Linked DNA regions of Arabidopsis thaliana. The protein of the gene in region 2 binds, or shares a complex with, the protein of the main gene of each other region. Each region holds a gene or a part of one and is shown on either strand. Other genes may lie near its edges.

What was found. The genes of interacting proteins can lie anywhere in the genome.
Region 1: EMB3012 (region 2) and AT1G75340 share a complex: the UniProt entries of both Arabidopsis thaliana proteins name them as parts of the nuclear pore complex.
Region 3: EMB3012 (region 2) and AT3G57350 share a complex: the UniProt entries of both Arabidopsis thaliana proteins name them as parts of the nuclear pore complex.

Annotation. Positions count from the first base shown.
Region 1 is NC_003070.9:28,268,427-28,273,934, reverse strand, and holds AT1G75340 (Zinc finger C-x8-C-x5-C-x3-H type family protein), read left to right. Parts: upstream 1-1,853; 5' UTR 1,854-2,061; coding exon 2,062-2,099; intron 2,100-2,209; coding exon of another isoform or gene 2,210-2,269; intron 2,270-2,460; coding exon 2,461-2,638; intron 2,639-2,798; coding exon 2,799-2,893; intron 2,894-2,997; coding exon 2,998-3,093; intron 3,094-3,183; coding exon 3,184-3,277; intron 3,278-3,388; coding exon 3,389-3,606; intron 3,607-3,701; coding exon 3,702-3,779; intron 3,780-3,879; coding exon 3,880-3,972; intron 3,973-4,078; coding exon 4,079-4,164; intron 4,165-4,244; coding exon 4,245-4,467; intron 4,468-4,591; coding exon 4,592-4,664; intron 4,665-4,746; coding exon 4,747-4,782; 3' UTR 4,783-4,965; downstream 4,966-5,508. Other genes in the region: emb2184 (Ribosomal protein L31), read right to left, coding at 1,248-1,613, 1,704-1,772; AT1G75335 (nucleolar-like protein), read right to left, coding at 5,069-5,359.
Region 2 is NC_003076.8:16,211,178-16,216,063, reverse strand, and holds the start of EMB3012 (embryo defective 3012), read right to left. Parts: upstream 3,029-4,886; 5' UTR 2,704-3,028; coding exon 2,531-2,703; intron 2,453-2,530; coding exon 2,187-2,452; intron 2,102-2,186; coding exon 1,935-2,101; intron 1,851-1,934; coding exon 1,634-1,850; intron 1,342-1,633; coding exon 995-1,341; intron 577-994; coding exon 397-576; intron 313-396; coding exon 177-312; intron 93-176; coding exon 1-92.
Region 3 is NC_003074.8:21,219,844-21,227,193, reverse strand, and holds AT3G57350 (Nucleoporin interacting component (Nup93/Nic96-like) family protein), read left to right. Parts: upstream 1-1,769; 5' UTR 1,770-1,888; coding exon 1,889-1,990; intron 1,991-2,096; coding exon 2,097-2,188; intron 2,189-2,389; coding exon 2,390-2,456; intron 2,457-2,585; coding exon 2,586-2,645; intron 2,646-2,731; coding exon 2,732-2,821; intron 2,822-3,197; coding exon 3,198-3,455; intron 3,456-3,712; coding exon 3,713-3,808; intron 3,809-3,901; coding exon 3,902-4,036; intron 4,037-4,233; coding exon 4,234-4,287; intron 4,288-4,407; coding exon 4,408-4,491; intron 4,492-4,628; coding exon 4,629-4,718; intron 4,719-4,791; coding exon 4,792-5,694; intron 5,695-5,854; coding exon 5,855-6,036; intron 6,037-6,139; coding exon 6,140-6,431; intron 6,432-6,510; coding exon 6,511-6,588; 3' UTR 6,589-6,807; downstream 6,808-7,350. Other genes in the region: AT3G57370 (Cyclin family protein), read left to right, coding at 41-126, 222-355; AT3G57360 (tRNA-splicing endonuclease subunit), read right to left, coding at 573-708, 796-1,179, 1,282-1,413, 1,511-1,623; AT3G57340 (DnaJ heat shock amino-terminal domain protein (DUF1977)), read right to left, coding at 6,916-7,350.

The sequences.
Region 1 (5,508 bases), on a different chromosome or scaffold from region 2:
AAATTAAAATTTATTTAATCCAACACATTGTATTTATTCCAACATAATTAACAAACTAATTAGATATGGTTAGACATATAGTTTAACTAACCCAACACAGCGTCTTTCATCAATCTTATGCTAGGAAACAGGAGACCATTAGTTTATCTTAAAACACCTTCTTTTTGTGTGTCTAAAGTCTTTAAGATAATATTTTAAGACTCAATTTTAGTCAAGATCGCAAATCATTGATAAGAAAGGATCTAAGACTTCAACCAACGAATGAATTTAGTTTAACTCAATTATTCAGATTCAACTGCATCGATCAGCATATGAAGTATGTAGAGATGTCAAAACCCAATTTACTAACGGATTAAAAAGCCCACAGGTTTTCCTTTTGAACTTCAGTGAAAACTTTGGTAGCTTAGTTAAGAAGCAGAAGACTCCAGCTGAGAGGAAATGGGCCTAAAATAGCCCACACATTCGACTGTCTTCAAATGGGCTTGAGACGGCCTGATATTGGTTTGGCTTGATATTGGTAAAACCTCTGATTGAGCTGGAGTATTCTGTTTCTGTTCAATATTGGTCACACAAATTCAGTAGTAGTATACAATTGGGCATGATCACAGAATCTTCAACTTCAAGTGCCAAAAATTTTCTTTTATGTTCTCAAGCAAAACATACTCCTACGCCATGGCCACAGTTCAAGAATCTGCTCACTATTAGTACGCCACTTCGTCGTCAGAAGACAAATGTTTTGCCTGATAACTTCAGCAGACACTTACATAGACCATGATCATCATGTTCAACATCTTATAAATCTATGTAAAAATGATCTCAATCAACTAATCAACACACCACTTACACATCAACAACAACTACCTACACTAGTCATTAATCTCATGCCATAACTTTCCAAGATTATCACAAAATGTGGCAAAAGCCACAACCTTTCTTTCATTTGCAATTACCATTTCATAGGCATTGTTGCTATGTTTCTCTCACCAGTGTATATCTATCTATTATCCATCACAAATTCATGCCAAACTCACAAGCTAAAGATTTGTCCTTGAGATTCGCTACTACTTGTATCATTGCTCTGAGATCCTAGTCTCACTCTCAATGAAACCAAATAGATCTTAAAGAAAGCATAACCAATAGCATTCAGAAGAAAATTCACATACAATTTTTAACAGCCTAAGCAGTATCTCGACTTCAATTGAAAAGACAACAAATTCAAAGACATAAGCTTTACCAGAAAAGACTCATCATTTCTTCTTCCCTTTGGGACCTTTACTTTTCTTAGTAGGCATAATGATTTCTCCTTTAAGCACAGGAATCTCCATAATCTCAGAAAGCCCAGCGAACCTCTTACGAAACTTCTCAACTTGATCAGCATCAACCATCAAAGCCGAACGATTCCCGAGGTAAAACGGATGGTTACCTGACCATACATCAACCACATACTCTTTCTTTGTTCCTCCTGTAGTCATCACCAGCTCTCCATTGCAGTAAACCTTTGCGTCTTCGTGGAATTCAGGATGCAATTCCTTCTTACGACACGTTATCTGAACCACCGTATTGCTGCTTCTTCTCACCGATTGTTTTCCTCCTTTCACTGCCGCCATCACCGGCTAATTTTGAAAAAAAAACACAAACAAATTTAGTGATTTTGGGGAAGGAGGAGAAATAGACGAAGAATGAGAAATCGATTTCGAGCTTACCTTTCTTAATTGCAGAGAAGGAACACATGGGCTAATCTGAAGAAACGAGTTCGGGAGAGAAACCGCCATTTTTGTCTTCAGGAGCTATCTTCTTCTTTTTTCCTGGTGATAGAGAAGAAACGAAGTAACGATTGATGGATAAGAGAATGAGGATGATGAAGTGTATTGGAGTTACGTTTATAACCCTAAATACTTTGAAGATATGTAAGGGTAATATGGTAATTTACATAGAGACTTCCTTTTGTTCTGTTGATACACTCTTCGTCAATCTAACGCTTCTTCATTTTTCTCGAGAGAAGCAAAACTACATATATATATACGCACATACGTACACAGTTCGAAGGTTTTAGCTGCGAGTATGAGGAAGGAACTGTGTAGAAACTTTCAGCGTGGCAGGTAAATACTCTTTTCATCATCATCATCTTCTTCTTCATCTGTTCTAGTTTTTGTTTTGATTCAATTTGTTGTTTTATAAGAGTTTTTGAAGTTTGTTTCGATTGCTGAAGTTTAGGTTTCGTGTTCTATATTCTGGGGTTTAATTTGAAATCAATCGATGTGCGAAGGTGGTAATGTGTTAGAAAACGATGTCTATTGAGCTGAAATCTAAATGAATCATACAGTTTATTGACTTTGATAGATTCTAATCTTCGTTTCCGCCATTAATGAGGGTTGATTTGCTTCGGAAGTTATGATTAGTGATAGTAGAAGCTTAGAGACGTAATTATTGGACTCATCGTCCTTTGTGCTGTTTTTGCAGTTGTAGGTATGGGGAAAACTGTAGATTTCTTCATCCACAACAAGCTAAGCCAAATAATCCCTTTGGCTTTGGTACACAAAACCAACAACAACAACAGCAGCAGCAGCAACAAAATAGTTCGAACCCTTTTGGATTTGGTGTACAAAGTGGTGGTTCCAGCAGACCGAATCAGTTCCAGGTCAATTTGTTTTTTTCCTCTTTTAAGATGCAAGTATTGCTTTGATAGAATGCAAGTTATCGTTCGGCTTTGGATGAGAAAAATGGTGCATCTTCTTTAAGAAACGAAAGCATTTTGCCTGTTGAATGAATGGTGACATGATGATGCTTTTGCAAATCAGAATACTTGGTCACGAACGGCTTCTACACCTACTGGTGGTGGTGCTGCTGCTTCTACACAGCAGACTGGTAAACAGACGCAGCCGGCAGATCATAAGTGAGTGTATATATGTTTACATATGCTTGTTCTATCAATTATCATCCTTTTAGCCGTTTGTTTCTTTGGAAATTTACTGTTTCTCTCTTGGTTACTATACAAAGATGCACAGATCCTGCTGCGTGTAAGCGGGTAATGCAAGACGATTTTAAGAATGAGAGACCCATGTGGAAGCTCACATGCTACGGCCACTGGAAATAGTATGTATTACTTCATTTGGTTTAGCATCCTTGATCTTTATCCATTCTTTATAAACGTGTCTGATTTTTTCTATCTTTTTTTTCTTCTAGTTTTCCATGTGATGTTACCGGTGATATCAGCTATGAAGAACTACGTGCAGTGGCATATGAAGAAGCTAAACGAGGAATACCTCTACAGTCGATTGTGAGATTAACCTTTCTTGTGTTTGTTATACTTTACACTGGTTTTCATTTCATACTGATAAGACATAAGTTGATTTCCTCTTTTCCTGGCTTATTATGGTGCATTATATAGGTTGAAAGGGAGAGGAATCTGCAAAATTCCAAAATAGCCGAGTTTGAAAACTTTCTACGGAATCCATACAAAGGCTCTGTTACCGCCAATCAAAGCCCGTTTGCTGCAACCACTCCTAGTATCTTCCCTCAGTCCAGTCAGATCAATTCCCCTTCTCCAGCATTCTCTGGCTTTAATCAACAAACTGCATTCTCCAATACCAATGCGGGTGGACTCAGGTATCAACTTTTGTGGGATTTCTCCAATTTTCATATCCCAAAAAGTTTGTGTTGCCTTCAAACTAACTCTCGGTTTCCATTTTTCCTCGACATAGTTCATCTGGACCTCCGAATGCCTTTGCAAGCTTCAATCAACAAACTACATTCCCCAATACCAATGCTGGTGGAGTCAGGTACTAACTTTCTCCATATTCCATATTCAAACAAGTTTGTGTTACCTTTATAACCTCTTGGTTCCCATATTTCTCTTTGGCCAACTATTCCTCTGCATAGTTCATCTGGACCTCCGAACCCCTTTGCAAGCTTTACTCAACAATCAAATAATCAACAAACTGCATTCTCCAATACCAACGCTGGTGGTCTCAGGTATCAACTTTTGTGGGCTTTCTCCATTTTCCAAATTCCGTAAAGGGGTGCCTTCATGAAAACTCTGTTTCCATATTTCTCTCTGGCCAATGATTCCTCTACATAGTTCATCTGGACCTCCGAATGCCTTTGCAAGCTTTAATAAACAACCAAATGCTTTCAGCGTCAACACTCCTCAACCTGTTCCTTCAGGTACTACTTCTAATGTTAAACTTTGCTTAAAGGCCAAGAGACTCGCCATCATCTGAAACCTCTTTTGCAAATGATCACAGGTCCCTCTGGTTTCCAAACCAATCCATCAACAACATTCAAACCAGCATCATTTGGACCTGGACCCGGATTTGCCACAACTCCACAAAACAATAACATCTTTGGTCAATCAACTCCAACACCGGCTACAAACACTTCCCAGAACAATCAGACCGCATTCAACTTCAATGTCCCTGTTGCATCTTTTACTGCTCCTGCTATAAACACGACAAATACATCTTCCGGGTAAGTCCTCAATCTGTTTCCAGGTTTTTTCTATAGTTAAAAACCGTTGTTGAACATGTTGACAGAGTTAATCAAAACATACTATGATGTTTCATACGTTTCTAACTTGAATCATTTGCGGCAGAACCGAGCTGCAAATAGGTGGTGATCCTGTTGATAGTAGTATCTGGCTAAAGGAGAAATGGAATCCAGGGGAGGTAAATTGCTCAAAACTAATCATTTAAGTTGTTTCCAAAAAATTTATTGCTCTTAGATTAATTTGTTGCTTTTGTTGTGCAGATTCCGGAACAAGCGCCGCCTGATGCCTTTGTTTAACAATATGAAGAATGTCATTGAAACAATTACGTATAGGCCAGAGTCGCAAATTGGCGCAGAAGAGTTGTTTTTTCTTGGTCATCTCAGATTTGTGACCAATGTAGTTTCTCCACAAAATCCAAAGTTTTGAACCTTAACAATAATTTCAATGCAGATAACAGAAACTATAAACAAGAGAATTCTAAAAATCAAATCTTTCTCACCAAGTGAACATCTTTCAACTACAACAACATTCCCACAAAATTTGAAAGCTTTTCTTAATTCCACTACAATTTTTTGATCAACTTCAAACAACGATCTCGCTGGATTTTCTCTTTTTCTTACTCTTCTTCCTCTCTTCCGAACCCATCTCTCGATGACTCTTCCTCTTCTTCTTAGAGCTTAGCTTCGTCTCCTTTGATTTAATCTCCCTATGGATGCTCTTCAATTCAATAAAGGCACCGGAAGCTCGTCGAAGGTACGCGCTAACATCTTGAGAGGCTCCATTCTCAGAAGAAACGAATCCGGAGAGAAGAGTAGCCGCCTTTGATAGAGAGATTGGCTTTGCACTGTTAACTCTTCCGGTGACCGTCTTCATCGGAACAACAAGCTCAAGGAAGATGGTCACAAATTAGGGCAAGTTGAAAAATAAATAAACCTTTTTATACATAGAATTGAAAATGGGCCTAGTGGAAAAAGCCCAATAAGAAAAAATGTCATCGGTGTCTCTCTTATAAAGGTAAAGCG
Region 2 (4,886 bases):
CCTCTTTGCCTGGATAATTCCATAAGCTGACACCGACAAAATGCTTATATCTGAAGTAAACCACTTGTAGTCACTCGATGCTTTTGCACAACCTACAGTGAGGAACAATCATCAAGTCACCATGGTTTTCAAACTAAAAAAGAATAGGTCACGAGAACCATAGATTGGGAACTAACCTCCTGTCACAATTAGCTCCATCTCCTGATAAACAGCAGGGGTCCATGGGAGTAGAACCTTAGGTGTGTCATCTTCACTGTTCAATGTGAACTGCACTTTTTCACAAACCCTAATTTCTTGGACAACCTTGAGAACCTGCTAGAGACAAAGTTGTTACTCTTGCAGTACCAACAAATGGAAAGAGACAAAAGGTTTTCCAAAGATATATAATTTTCTCACCTCTTTTGACTCTTGATGCCCACTGAAGTAAGTCAATGTAGATGTCAGCTCTCCTAATCCTGGTGAGATTGCGTTCAAAATTCTAGAATTTCGCTGACCATATTCAGAGGAAAGTTCATCTGGCAGTGAGACGATTTTCCAATAATCTGAATCTTTTCCATACAGTTTTATGTCATCCGTCTGCAATCAACACAAAGGAAATTATTATGTTGAACATACATGCAATATCATCTACAATAAATCCTCTGGACATAACTCGGTAAAGGAAGAAACTTAAATGCAAACAAATGAACAGCAGTGAGAAAGAAAGAAAAACAGCCACAAAAGACACATCATCAGGCTTTTCTTCAGTTTTAAAGATTTGAATACTGTGTAGCCACCAGCAGTTTCCTCCCCAAAATAGAACACATACTCAGTATAAAGAGACTCATGACCAAAGACAAGCTTATGGACGATTGATTGGCAGCCTAAAGATAAATAAACTATGCACCACGTCCTATAGTTAGAAAATACAGAGGCAAGGTAATATTGTCACACAAAGAAACTGATGCAAACTACATGTGGGCATGCAAAACAGGTAAAAGAAAAAGAAAAGTACCTCAGTTATATAGATTTCATGTGCATCAGGTCTTCCAGAGAAAATCTTCATTTGAATTAGATATTGACGACCAGACACCACATACCAATGCATAGATGATGGAAAAGGTTTGGATTCTGTAATAAGATCCCCTGACATTGACCAAGGTGATATGTACAAGATAAGAGTATCTGGAGTGACAACATTAATAGATGATCCTTGAATGTGGCCAGCGACCCGGGTATCCTCAACAACAACTGTTGTTACCCCCAAGCTTAACGCTTTAGTCAGACCTATCAAAGAATCCACTTGAGCAACAGAAGAGTTTAACACAGACCATCTATGATGTGGTGATGGTAGATCCACGGCTGCAAATAAAATAAACAATAGACCAATCAAGAACGAGAATGAAAAGCAACATAACATAGCATGTCACACTCGAGCTACAGTTACAAGTATTTTCAAATTATGAATCAACACCACTGAAATATCATAAAGCGTATAAGCCTGCCAGTTTAATATGATAAATGTACCAAGGTAGCTCTATACATTGTTTTCATTTAATATATGTGTCAAAAATCATCAGCTTTAAACACACATGAAAATCGAATAACTCAAACATTGCTAAATAACAAGTTAATCTCGAAGATGCAGACAAACCTTGAGGAACATTTCCACGCATGACCTTTAACGTGTAACCAAAAGAAGCTCCCATCAGGACATAGACAGGTGAGCGAGGTTCAAGAGACATGGCTTCTGCAACCGTTAATACAATTTCATCAGCTATATGGGTCAGAGGAGCCTCAAGCAGATGAACTGAAACCTTCTCATGTCCAATTTTAGTTCCCTTCACAACAAACAAATCTGCAAATACACCCTGCATTTACCATGTCAACATTAGATCTCTCATCCATCAATTTTTTAGATTCAGTAATTCACACTCAACAATAGATATACATACACTATCTTCAAGCTTTTTCTGGATATCTAAGTAGCCACACAGTCCTCCACAGTCAGTCAACGGAGATTCCTTCAAAGGCACATGAGCAAGATGATGTGTTGATCCACCACTCTCAGGCATTAGCTTCCAAATGAATTGTAGACCCACCAGTGAGGAGAACTCGTTATCTGCAAATAGATTTCAGCACATTTCTAAAATCACAGCACAAACTGAAGCAAAAACATTACTTTATTGACTTGTGACGACACTAACCTTCATTATCAAAAGCGCGGACTCTAAGCATGGAAAGACCATCAAGATCAAGCTTGATAGAATTATGAAAAATCTGAATCCGTGAGAAGTTGTCAATAAAGACCTTGCAGCGAATCACCATCCCAGTCTGTATATCAGTGGCATAAACTGCAGTCTCCTTTCTACCACTATACGGAGAAATCGATCTGAGACGCGCGCTGGTCGAACAATGACTGCTCGAATTAAACTCAGGTGTGACTGATAGAATATCATGATGATCCCATGACCTACAAATTACAACAACAAAACTCAGATTTGGGTAATACAGCTACTTATAAGAGAGATGAGTTTGGGTAAATGTGTACCATTTGAAGCAGCCATCACTTCCTTGAAGGCGATACTCAACCGGATTCTTCATCTTGGGAGGTAAGAGTATGTTAACATCGGTGATGTGTGGACCAGAAACTAATTGCGATGAACTCTCTCCAGCAGAGAGCAAGAGAAGGAGAAAGAAGAAGCAGAACGAGACGGGAACCATTTTGGTTTTTGTTTTGCTACATCAACGCAAACGAATGAGAGTAAATTGAAGAAGTAGCCAGCTTTGAAGCAGTAGCTTTTTTATTGAGTGAAGAGTGACGTGAAATCGAAGAGCTAGAGGTTGTAGATGGATGAGATTGAAACCCTAAAAGAAGGGTTTTTAGAGGGGTTTATGGAAAGGGGAAGAAAATCGAGGGAAACGACGGTTACGTGGCAGAAATTTATTGGTGGCGAGGGAAGATTCGCTGTCGTTTTAGCATTTCCTGAGGAGAGTGTTGTTCACGCGCCGATGCGGTTTTGATTTTTCAGGTGCTCGGGAGAGAAAGAAAGCTTTTGGGATTTTTTCGAGTCTTTAAAAGCTTGGTCCCTAGAGTTTTAAATTTTTTAAAATCCAGCATAAGACTTTACCTATGTGCAATTAGAAACTGCGATTGGTGACAAAAGTATTACAAAAAAGTTGATGGTACAAGATAACTAAGTACAATTAGAAGTCACACATCAACGGTTTTTATGGTTTTTATGTTGTTTAAGCAGCAAGAATTTGCTCTTTAGGGATATTTACTTGATCATATATCGTGAACAAAAAATTATAGGTAATTGAGAGGTCATAGACTTTTGTAATACACAAGACATTTGTAAATTGTTATCACATACTCAACACCATATATATTTTCAATACCTCTCGAGCATCTTCTGTTATGATTTTTCTTATTTTCTCTAATTTTATTACAAACCTTATGGTTACTAAATACTATGCAGAACCGTGCCTACTTGAAAGAAAATGAAACATTCGCCTACGATATTCAAATTTCCAAATTTTTACATAACTCATATCAAAATCAAGTTAATTTCTTCATAAATTTTGTGCATTTTGTGTTTGTATTTATACTGTACGGATTTTCTCTTACATACGCAAAAATAAAAAGCTTTTTAATATTGAAAAAGAGAAAAAAGAAAATAACCAATTATGTAATAATTCTTACAAAGAGTATAAATATATAAATACAGACAAATCTTCTTCTTTTTGCACACCCGAAAAGCCTTGTCTTCCTATCTCTCTACCAAAATTTCTCTCTTTCTCTTTCTCTCTCTCTATAGCTCTAGAGTGCGTCGTGAGTATGTTTTTATTGACGCCATTGAAATTGGGTTAAATCGGTTTGAATCGGATTGAACAAAAACTGTATTAATAATAACTAGATGAGTACCCGCACTACGTGCGGGTTTACGTATTACTATTTATAAATTGTTTTATATAATGCATGTTCATATAAAGTAAAGTTAAATGCATAGGTTTTGAAACATAAATATGATTTGTAATTGTTTTTGAAAAGCCCAACTATATTAGTTCATCTGAAAAAAGAATGTGCTTGAGTTGTTTTTTATTGTTGTTTTAGATTTTTAGTTTTTTTTTTGAATTTATATATCCTTGCTTTTTTAATTATATGTATAGATTGTGAGACGGTGAAATTTTAGAAAATTTATTTCTTACACTAAAAATATAACATGTCTTTATTAATCATGTCTCTGCATATTTAATCTAAGCATATTCAACTTGATGTTCTTGGAAAGTTTAGTTAAATTCTTGTCATAATCTTATATCTTACGTATTAGTTATAAAGATAGCTCCTCAAATATCTTTCAAATTACTTGTTTTCTTAGCATAAATCTTGAAAAGCTTAGATATATTTAATCTGCATATTCATTTAGTTTCTTTCATAATAATCGTCTAATTTTTAGGCCAGGAATATGTGTAAATCTTTGGATTTTATCATCACTTTAGCCACTTAAGTGGATCTCAAAATTAAAGAGGATATATTGAATTAAAAAATGTAGAAAGAGTGATGGTTCAAGTTCTCATTAATTATATTTTTCTATTTTAATTGTTATGTTGAATTAATTACTAATTATGTATTACTTATTTTATGAAGTCTAGGTGGCAAACTCTCATGTGCTAATGTGTCAAGTTGTGGAAGAGAGTTAGTCTTCTTTCATATATATAATTCTTCCTCTACTTTTCTCTCTTCTGATTGATTCCAATCTTCTTTCATTTCTTCTTCTTTTTCTTATGGAGAGGGGGCATGTTAAATAATATCAAATTTATTTTTATTTATACTTTATAGTATATGTTTAAAATTTGAAAAATACATTTTTTATTGAATATCCCATTTATATACCAAGTTTTGT
Region 3 (7,350 bases), on a different chromosome or scaffold from region 2:
TGCAGCAGACTTAAAACCCATATATTTCTACTTATTGCAGTTGCAGCCGTAGGGCTCCTGTATCAGTTGCAGCAGGAATCGTATATGTCATTGCTCGACTTTCTTATGAGAAGCATCTGCTCAAAGGTCACATTTAAATCTCAATCTATATAGCAGCCCTTAAAGCAAAGTCTGATCAGCTCTTCTCTTTCTCTAACATATTGACACATAATGAGTTGCAGGTCTAATAGAAGCCACTGGAGTTGCAGAAAACACGATAAAAGGAACATACGGGGACTTGTATCCAAATCTGCCAACAATAGTACCCACGTGGTTTGCCAATGCAAATGACCTGAAAAACCTTGGAGCTCCTTAGATCTTTATGTGCGAGGATACAAACAATCTCACTCAAAGAAGCTTTCGTCTTTCCCTTTTTCTTTTTTCCTGAGCCCTTATAAGATTCTTCCTAGAACCCTTTACACATAATACCTCATGAATACGCATCATCAAAGTTACTCCAAGTGTATGTAAACTCTCAGTTTGATTCGACTTTTTCAAAAGAATACAAGATCATTCCGGTTTTTTGTTACATTTTATGATAAGACAGGGAGGTCTATAGAACTGAAGGAAAAGAAACTGGCACGGCCCTGAGCGATATGACAGAATGTTAATGGTGCAGCTATGCGCTTTTGCAGGACTTTAATATCTTCTTTGCTTGGTGGAGAGTCCCTGTTAAAGAATATGAGTATATTTAGTAAGACGCATAGTGAAAAACTTGCATTCATAGTCGAACTTCAAACTAACAAAAACGCTTACCCCGAGAAGCAAGCCACAAAGCTTGGTTCACCAGGAGAAGACTTCTTGAACCGGCTGTTTGGTAGATACACGTCAAACACCGCTTTTGCATCACAAATCTGCATATCTCCCAAGAGTTTAGTTACAGTATCATTGTCTGCAGGACATTCACCAGCACAAGCTGACTCTTCTTCACCATTCGGTCTTGCAGCATCCTTTAACGTCCAAGAAACTCCATGCCTACCTAGGATGTAACCTAGACCCTTCAAGTATCTATAAACCTCGTAGTTTTCCCAAGAGCAACCGCTTTTCTCCTCTGCAATTTTCTCATACAAGTCCTTCAATGGGATCACTATGTCATCCTCATTACCTAAGATCTGTAACTCTCCAATTTCACTCAAATACCTGCAAAGGGAAGAAGAATAAACGAAAAAGGAAGAGACTTTCATCAGATCTTTGGTAAAGACTGATCTAAAAAACTTGTAAAATATTTAGTTTGCCACATACAGAGCCTCTTCTATGAAGCAATATGTCTTTCCACTACGAATGATTCCAGTTGTCGTCCAAAGTTTTCCCCTTTTAACCTCAACTTCCGCCATTCCTAGTTCAGTAATCCAACGAGCCTTGGAAGATCCTACTCTACATTTTGCAAACACAAAAAACAAAAAGAGAAACTGAGTCTAAGATTAGTTGACTTAGCAGTTTATGATTTGGGCAAAAGTAAATCTAAATTCACCTGAACTGTAACTTGGGCACTGAACCACCAGAATGAAACTCTTCGTCATCATCGTTTGGAAAACCACCTTCGTTTTCGCTCGAAGAAGAAGCTTCCCAGTCTTTTTCCTCCATAAGCTTAAAGTATGAGATGTTCAAGGAGGCAATTCGTCGAACAGTTGGTGTACAGCTAAATAGGTCGTGCCGTGTCGTGTGTCTTCTTTCTCTTTTCCTTTGGTTTTGAATTTTATTGTACCGAATCGACAAATAAGGAATCAAGACCCGAACCAATTAAACCGGTTTGAGTAAGTGGAGAAAAAAACTGATTTTAAAATGTTCGAATCCTAAACCCTTGACATTCTTCTGCTGAGTTCTCCTGAAGCTCAAACTCTCAATAAGTATGGCGAACGACCAGGAGATGAGTGGATGGACTGATCTTCTCCATTCTTCGACTAAGCTTCTGGAGCAAGCGGCTCCTTCTTCTCAGTTTCCTCCTCTTCAGGTCCTTCTACTAACCACCACTCTTTTCGATTTCGAACCTCCGTTTGTCTGTTGGCTTCTATTATCACGATGAGCTTGATTCGTAATGATATATCCGTGGTTTATAGAGGAATTTGGATCAATTGGAAGCATTGTCGAGGAAACTCAAAGCTAAAACCCTAAGAAACGAAGCTCCTTCACAGTCTATTGCTGCCACTAGGTACTACAACTTCGATTTTCTCTTTCTTTACCTAGGTCTTGCGTTTTAGTGAGTCCCCGAGAATTCAATATTGGTCACTCAATTTAGCCATTAAAGAGTATTGGAGTGCGAGATTGAAGGTAGGTCCGACGAGCTTAACATCGTAGAATCCTCTGGTCGATAGTTTGATTCTGGTGTCTTCATTTTTGCTTGGATACGCAGACTACTTGCACGGGAGGGAATCAATGCAGATCAATTATCTCGTGATCTTAAGTCATTTGAGTTGAAGGTGAGCATTTTCTCTATTTCCTATCTATATCTACTAGCTTATGTTGCTCTTCTGTTCTTTGGATAATTTGACATTTTATCTGTGTACTGAATTACCTTTGCCTAAGTTTTTCTTTTGGATTGTTAATAGACGACTTTTGAAGATGTATTCCCTGCGGAGACAACAAGTGTTGAAGAATACCTGCAACAGGTTTTCTATATCTAAATGCTCTTCGAGAATTCCCTTTTCTTTGATTACACTACAGATTGTTCTATATGCATCTTCTTTGTCTTTAGGTTCATGAAATGGCAATGGTATCGGCTATACAGGAGGCCCAGAAAGATAATGTTCGAAGCTTTAACAACTACATGTTGAAAGTGTTGGAGGTCAGTATTGCGACTATCACAAATTGTTTTGACTTGATTTCCGTGTTAGTTTCATCTGTCACATCTTTTGCCTTTAGACAATGTTCTCCTGTTTGTAATGGTTTTAAAGTTTTTCCTCTCGTCTTTTGCTTCTTTTCATTATGCTATTACAGTCAAAGACTCGTAAATGTCTAAATGATAAGCATGAGACCGTAATTGTTAATTGGAGGAACATGTTCTTTATCCCTAGATATTTATGGCATTGTAGTTTGAAAATTCTTTGCGTAGAAAGTTAGAAGCTGGTTGAGTTGCTTATTGCTAATTAGAAGGATATGTTTTTTGAATTTATTCAGGTTCTTTCTCATATATACTTCAACGTGAAATCTGTTTATGGCAGGAGGACTGTATAAAAGAAAAACGTGACTTTCTTCACAGCCTTAGCAAAACTTCAATGTTACCTAAGACCAAGATGATCAATTCAAGTAGAGGCTCTCATGCTGGTTCACTAGTGCCTTTGAGTCCCCAAGTATCTTCAAAACCTGGAACGGAACTCGTGTCTATGACTAACAAACCCATTCATGAGAAAAAGGCATATGTCTATGCCGAGGTTGTGAAAAAACTAAACTCTGCAAGAGAACGAGGCTTGCCATTTAAAGTATGACCTTCGAAAACCTCCTTGTAAATTCTATAATATTGGTGCATTTGAATGTCGTCCTGCTTGATAGTTGTAGCTAAAAATTCTGCATCTTTTGTTACTGCTCTTAGAAGTGAAGCTAAACCTATAATATATATGTAAACCCTTCACCTTTTTATGATAAGTGCCTTTTGTTCAGCATTAATCTAACTAGTTGACCTTGTACTCATTTGTTTAACTCTGCTTCCTACTAATTTATTATTTGTGTGTTTGTATAGCTTGCAACATTGTTCAACGGTGCATATGAAAGTCTAGAAATTGATTTGACTCGTGGAAAATCAGTCAACATGCAAAAATTATGGCAGCTTATTCAGGTGATCTTTTGATTGGAAGATTCCTTTTCCTACCAGTGGCACCTTAAAAGTCTGTTCTTACATTTCCAAGGCTTTTAACAATTTATAAAACAGGGAATGACGGGTGAAGAGTCAGCAGTACAACATGGTGTTTCCAAGAGGATGGCCCTCGTGATAGGTGCAAGACGCCACTTGGAATGTGGGCATGGGAAACATATAATGGATACAATTCAAAGTCATCCTACACAAGTACTCGTTTCTACCTTGTATTAGTTTTGCTTGGAATTGCTATTTAAGGCATGTTACATGTGTCTTGATGCATCTTTTTAATTACTTTCTTAACTTCAAGGATGCTTTCTTGAAAATATGCCCTTGATCTTTCACTGAGTTCAAGTGCGTCAATAATCACAACATGTTTCTATCCTCTCCTTTGAATCTTTGTCTAGGCTGCTCTTGGTGGATCAGTTGGAAATTTGCAAAGAATTCGTGCTTTTCTTCGGGTGAGTGCCACAGATCTAATAAAGCTTAACACGAAGCATATATACACAGGAATATTATTTTGTGGCAATCATATACATTGGTTTGTTTGCATTTCTTGATTCTTTTTCAATACTGCGCAGATTCGTCTGAGAGATTATGGGAGTTTGGACTTTGATTCAGTTGATGCTCGTAGGCAGCCTCCAGTTGATACTACTTGGCAGCAGGTTTCACATATTTTCACTCACGCTTTAAATTTTCAGTTTGTCCTCAACAATCAAGTTGAACAGTAGAATTTTCTTATTGCTGTTCCCCCAAGTTTCTTAACGTAAGAGATTGATTAAATATACCTCTTTGATTACAGATATATTTTTGCTTGAGAACTGGTTATTATGAGGAAGCTAGAGAAATTGCCCAGTCATCTCGGTCATCTCAACAACAGTTTGCTCCTCTGGTATATTGTTTGGTCTTAATAACCCACATTAATGTTTTGGAGTTGCCTTTTTGATGTCCCCTTTTTTTGGCAGCTTACAGAGTGGATTACAACAGGTGGTACTGTGGCTGCACAAACCGCTGCTACTGCTTCTGAGGAATGTGAGAAATTGTTAAGGATGGGTGATCGGTTTGGCCAAACAACATATGACAAGAAGAAGCTTCTACTCTACACTATCATATCTGGTTCCCGAAGACAAATTGATCGCATCATGAGAGATTTTTCGACCCTCTTTAACACAATAGAAGATTTTCTCTGGTTCAAACTATCATGTGTACGTGACGTAGCTGGTGGATCTTCATCTATGATCGTGAATGATGGGCTAGTGCCATACAGTTTGGATGATCTCCAGGCCTATCTTAATAAGTTTGAGCCATCTTACTACACTAAGAATGGGAAAGACCCTCTGGTATACCCATATGTTTTGCTTCTTAGCATTCAGTTACTACCGGCGATCATGCACATGTCCAACGAAGCTGGAGATGAAGGGTATAACATTGATGCTGTCCATGTAGCTATATCGCTAGTGGACCATTCCATTCTCTCTGAAGGATCTGGGACTGGGCGCAAACTAAGTGTGATGGATGCTAATGCCGAGGCATCTAGCATGATTAGGCAATATGGGTCGATGTATTTGCATCATGGTGATCTGCAAATGACGCTGGAATACTATGCACAAGCTGCTATTGCAGTAGGTGGGGGTCAACAGGCTTGGTCTGGAAGAAGTAATGTTGATCAACAAAGGCAAAGGAACTTGATGCTGAAGCAACTACTGACTGAGATTTTGTCACAAGAGGATGGTATTCACTTTCTGCTTGGTGCTAGAGGTTCCGGTGAAGAAGGCGAGCTTGGAAGATTTCTGCCTGATATAAAATTGAGGCAGCAGTTCTTGATCGAAGCTGCGCATCAATTTCAAGAAGCTGGATTATATGACAAAGTAAGTATCTTTTGTACTTTTTGATCATATACTAACTACTTTAAACATGCTTTAGTAAACTGTCCGTTGGTTCTTTGTTCAATTGGAGTGCTTTCACATATCAATCATTTATTTCTTTTACCATGTTTCAGTTTTTTTTACGGTTTGTTATTTAATGCAGTCAATAGAACTACAGAAGAGAGTTGGTGCGTTTTCGTCTGCCTTGGAAACGATAAACAAATGTCTATCTGAAGCCATTTGCTCCCTTGTCCGTGGAAGGCCAGATGGTGAAAGCCGAACAGAGGGGCTTGTTCTCTCGGGCAATGACATTCTCAATTCTTACAAATATCACCCTGATGTCAGGTAAATTGCATACTTCAATGGACTAACTCATTTACTTGTCTTAAGTTTTGTAGTTGTTGAATAGGGAGGTTCTCACTGGAAGTGTTATTCTTTTATACTACAGTGCCCAGGAAAGACATCTTGTTATGGAACAAGAAACAATACTAAGAGAGCTTGAGGCAATATTATCGATCCACAAGTTGGCCAGACTAAACAAACATCTAGATGCCATAAGAGAAGTCGCGAAACTTCCATTCCTTCATCTCGATCCAAGACAACCAGACACCACCTCGGATGAGTTCCAGAAAGCATCTTCTTACTTTCAGACTTGTGTCCCTGATTTACTTAAGGTTGCTCTGACCTGTTTGGATAACGTAGCTGACACTGATGGATCAATCAGGGGCATGAGATCTAAGGTATACTTTAACAATTTGCGCCATATATATGATCAGTAGAGATCATGATATGGATATTAATCATGAATTTGTTTTGCAGATTGCTGGGTTTCTTGCAAGCAACACACAGCGGAACTGGCCTCGAGATTTGTACGAGAAGATAGCTCGAAGCTTTTGAATCTAAGAAATTCGAATACTTGTCTAAAAAAGATCTTGTAAGAAGCTGTTAAACCCATTTTTGTTACTTAACCTCGAGGATCACTTTTTGTTTTTTCTTCTTTTGGGCTCAAACAGGCATGGTTAGCAAAAGCAAAATCTTAACATAGAGATAATCACACAAAATCCAAAGATCGTATGTTAGGTTCTAAAGCATTATAATCCAAAACAAAAGAAAACAAAAACATATACCAGTTTGACTCGTGAAGGCATTGACATTATAAAAGTTTTATAAGCTGATGATTCATTACCAATGTGTGCCTCATTGTTGGTACTAGCTTCAGTTGTTTCAAGCAGCAGCTGTATCAAATCTCCTCATCATGTCACAATGAGGCGTTTCACGAACAAATCCCCATTGTTTCCTCTGCATCTCATACCTACAATTCTGACTAAGTATAGACACATAATCTCTCTCAACTTGTTCTTCCAGCGTGTGTCGATCGTTGCTATCTCGTGGATAATCCTGCTCGAATTTAGACGATTTCACAAAGTAATTGACACCTTTCTGTGTAGTGAACTTGTACTGGTAAGGATAAGTTGCAGAGAGTTGGTAAACTGGTTGAGAAGAAGGCATGAAGTTGAGCAGAAGTATGAAGACAACAGGAAGAAGCTGGAGAAGTATACGAGCATTGAAACCTGCATCAGGTGCTTGATTGTTATTAGCTGTTCTCTGACGAGTAGCTCCGAAATTAAATGATCGGAATTGAGCAGTCGCAGGAGGCAT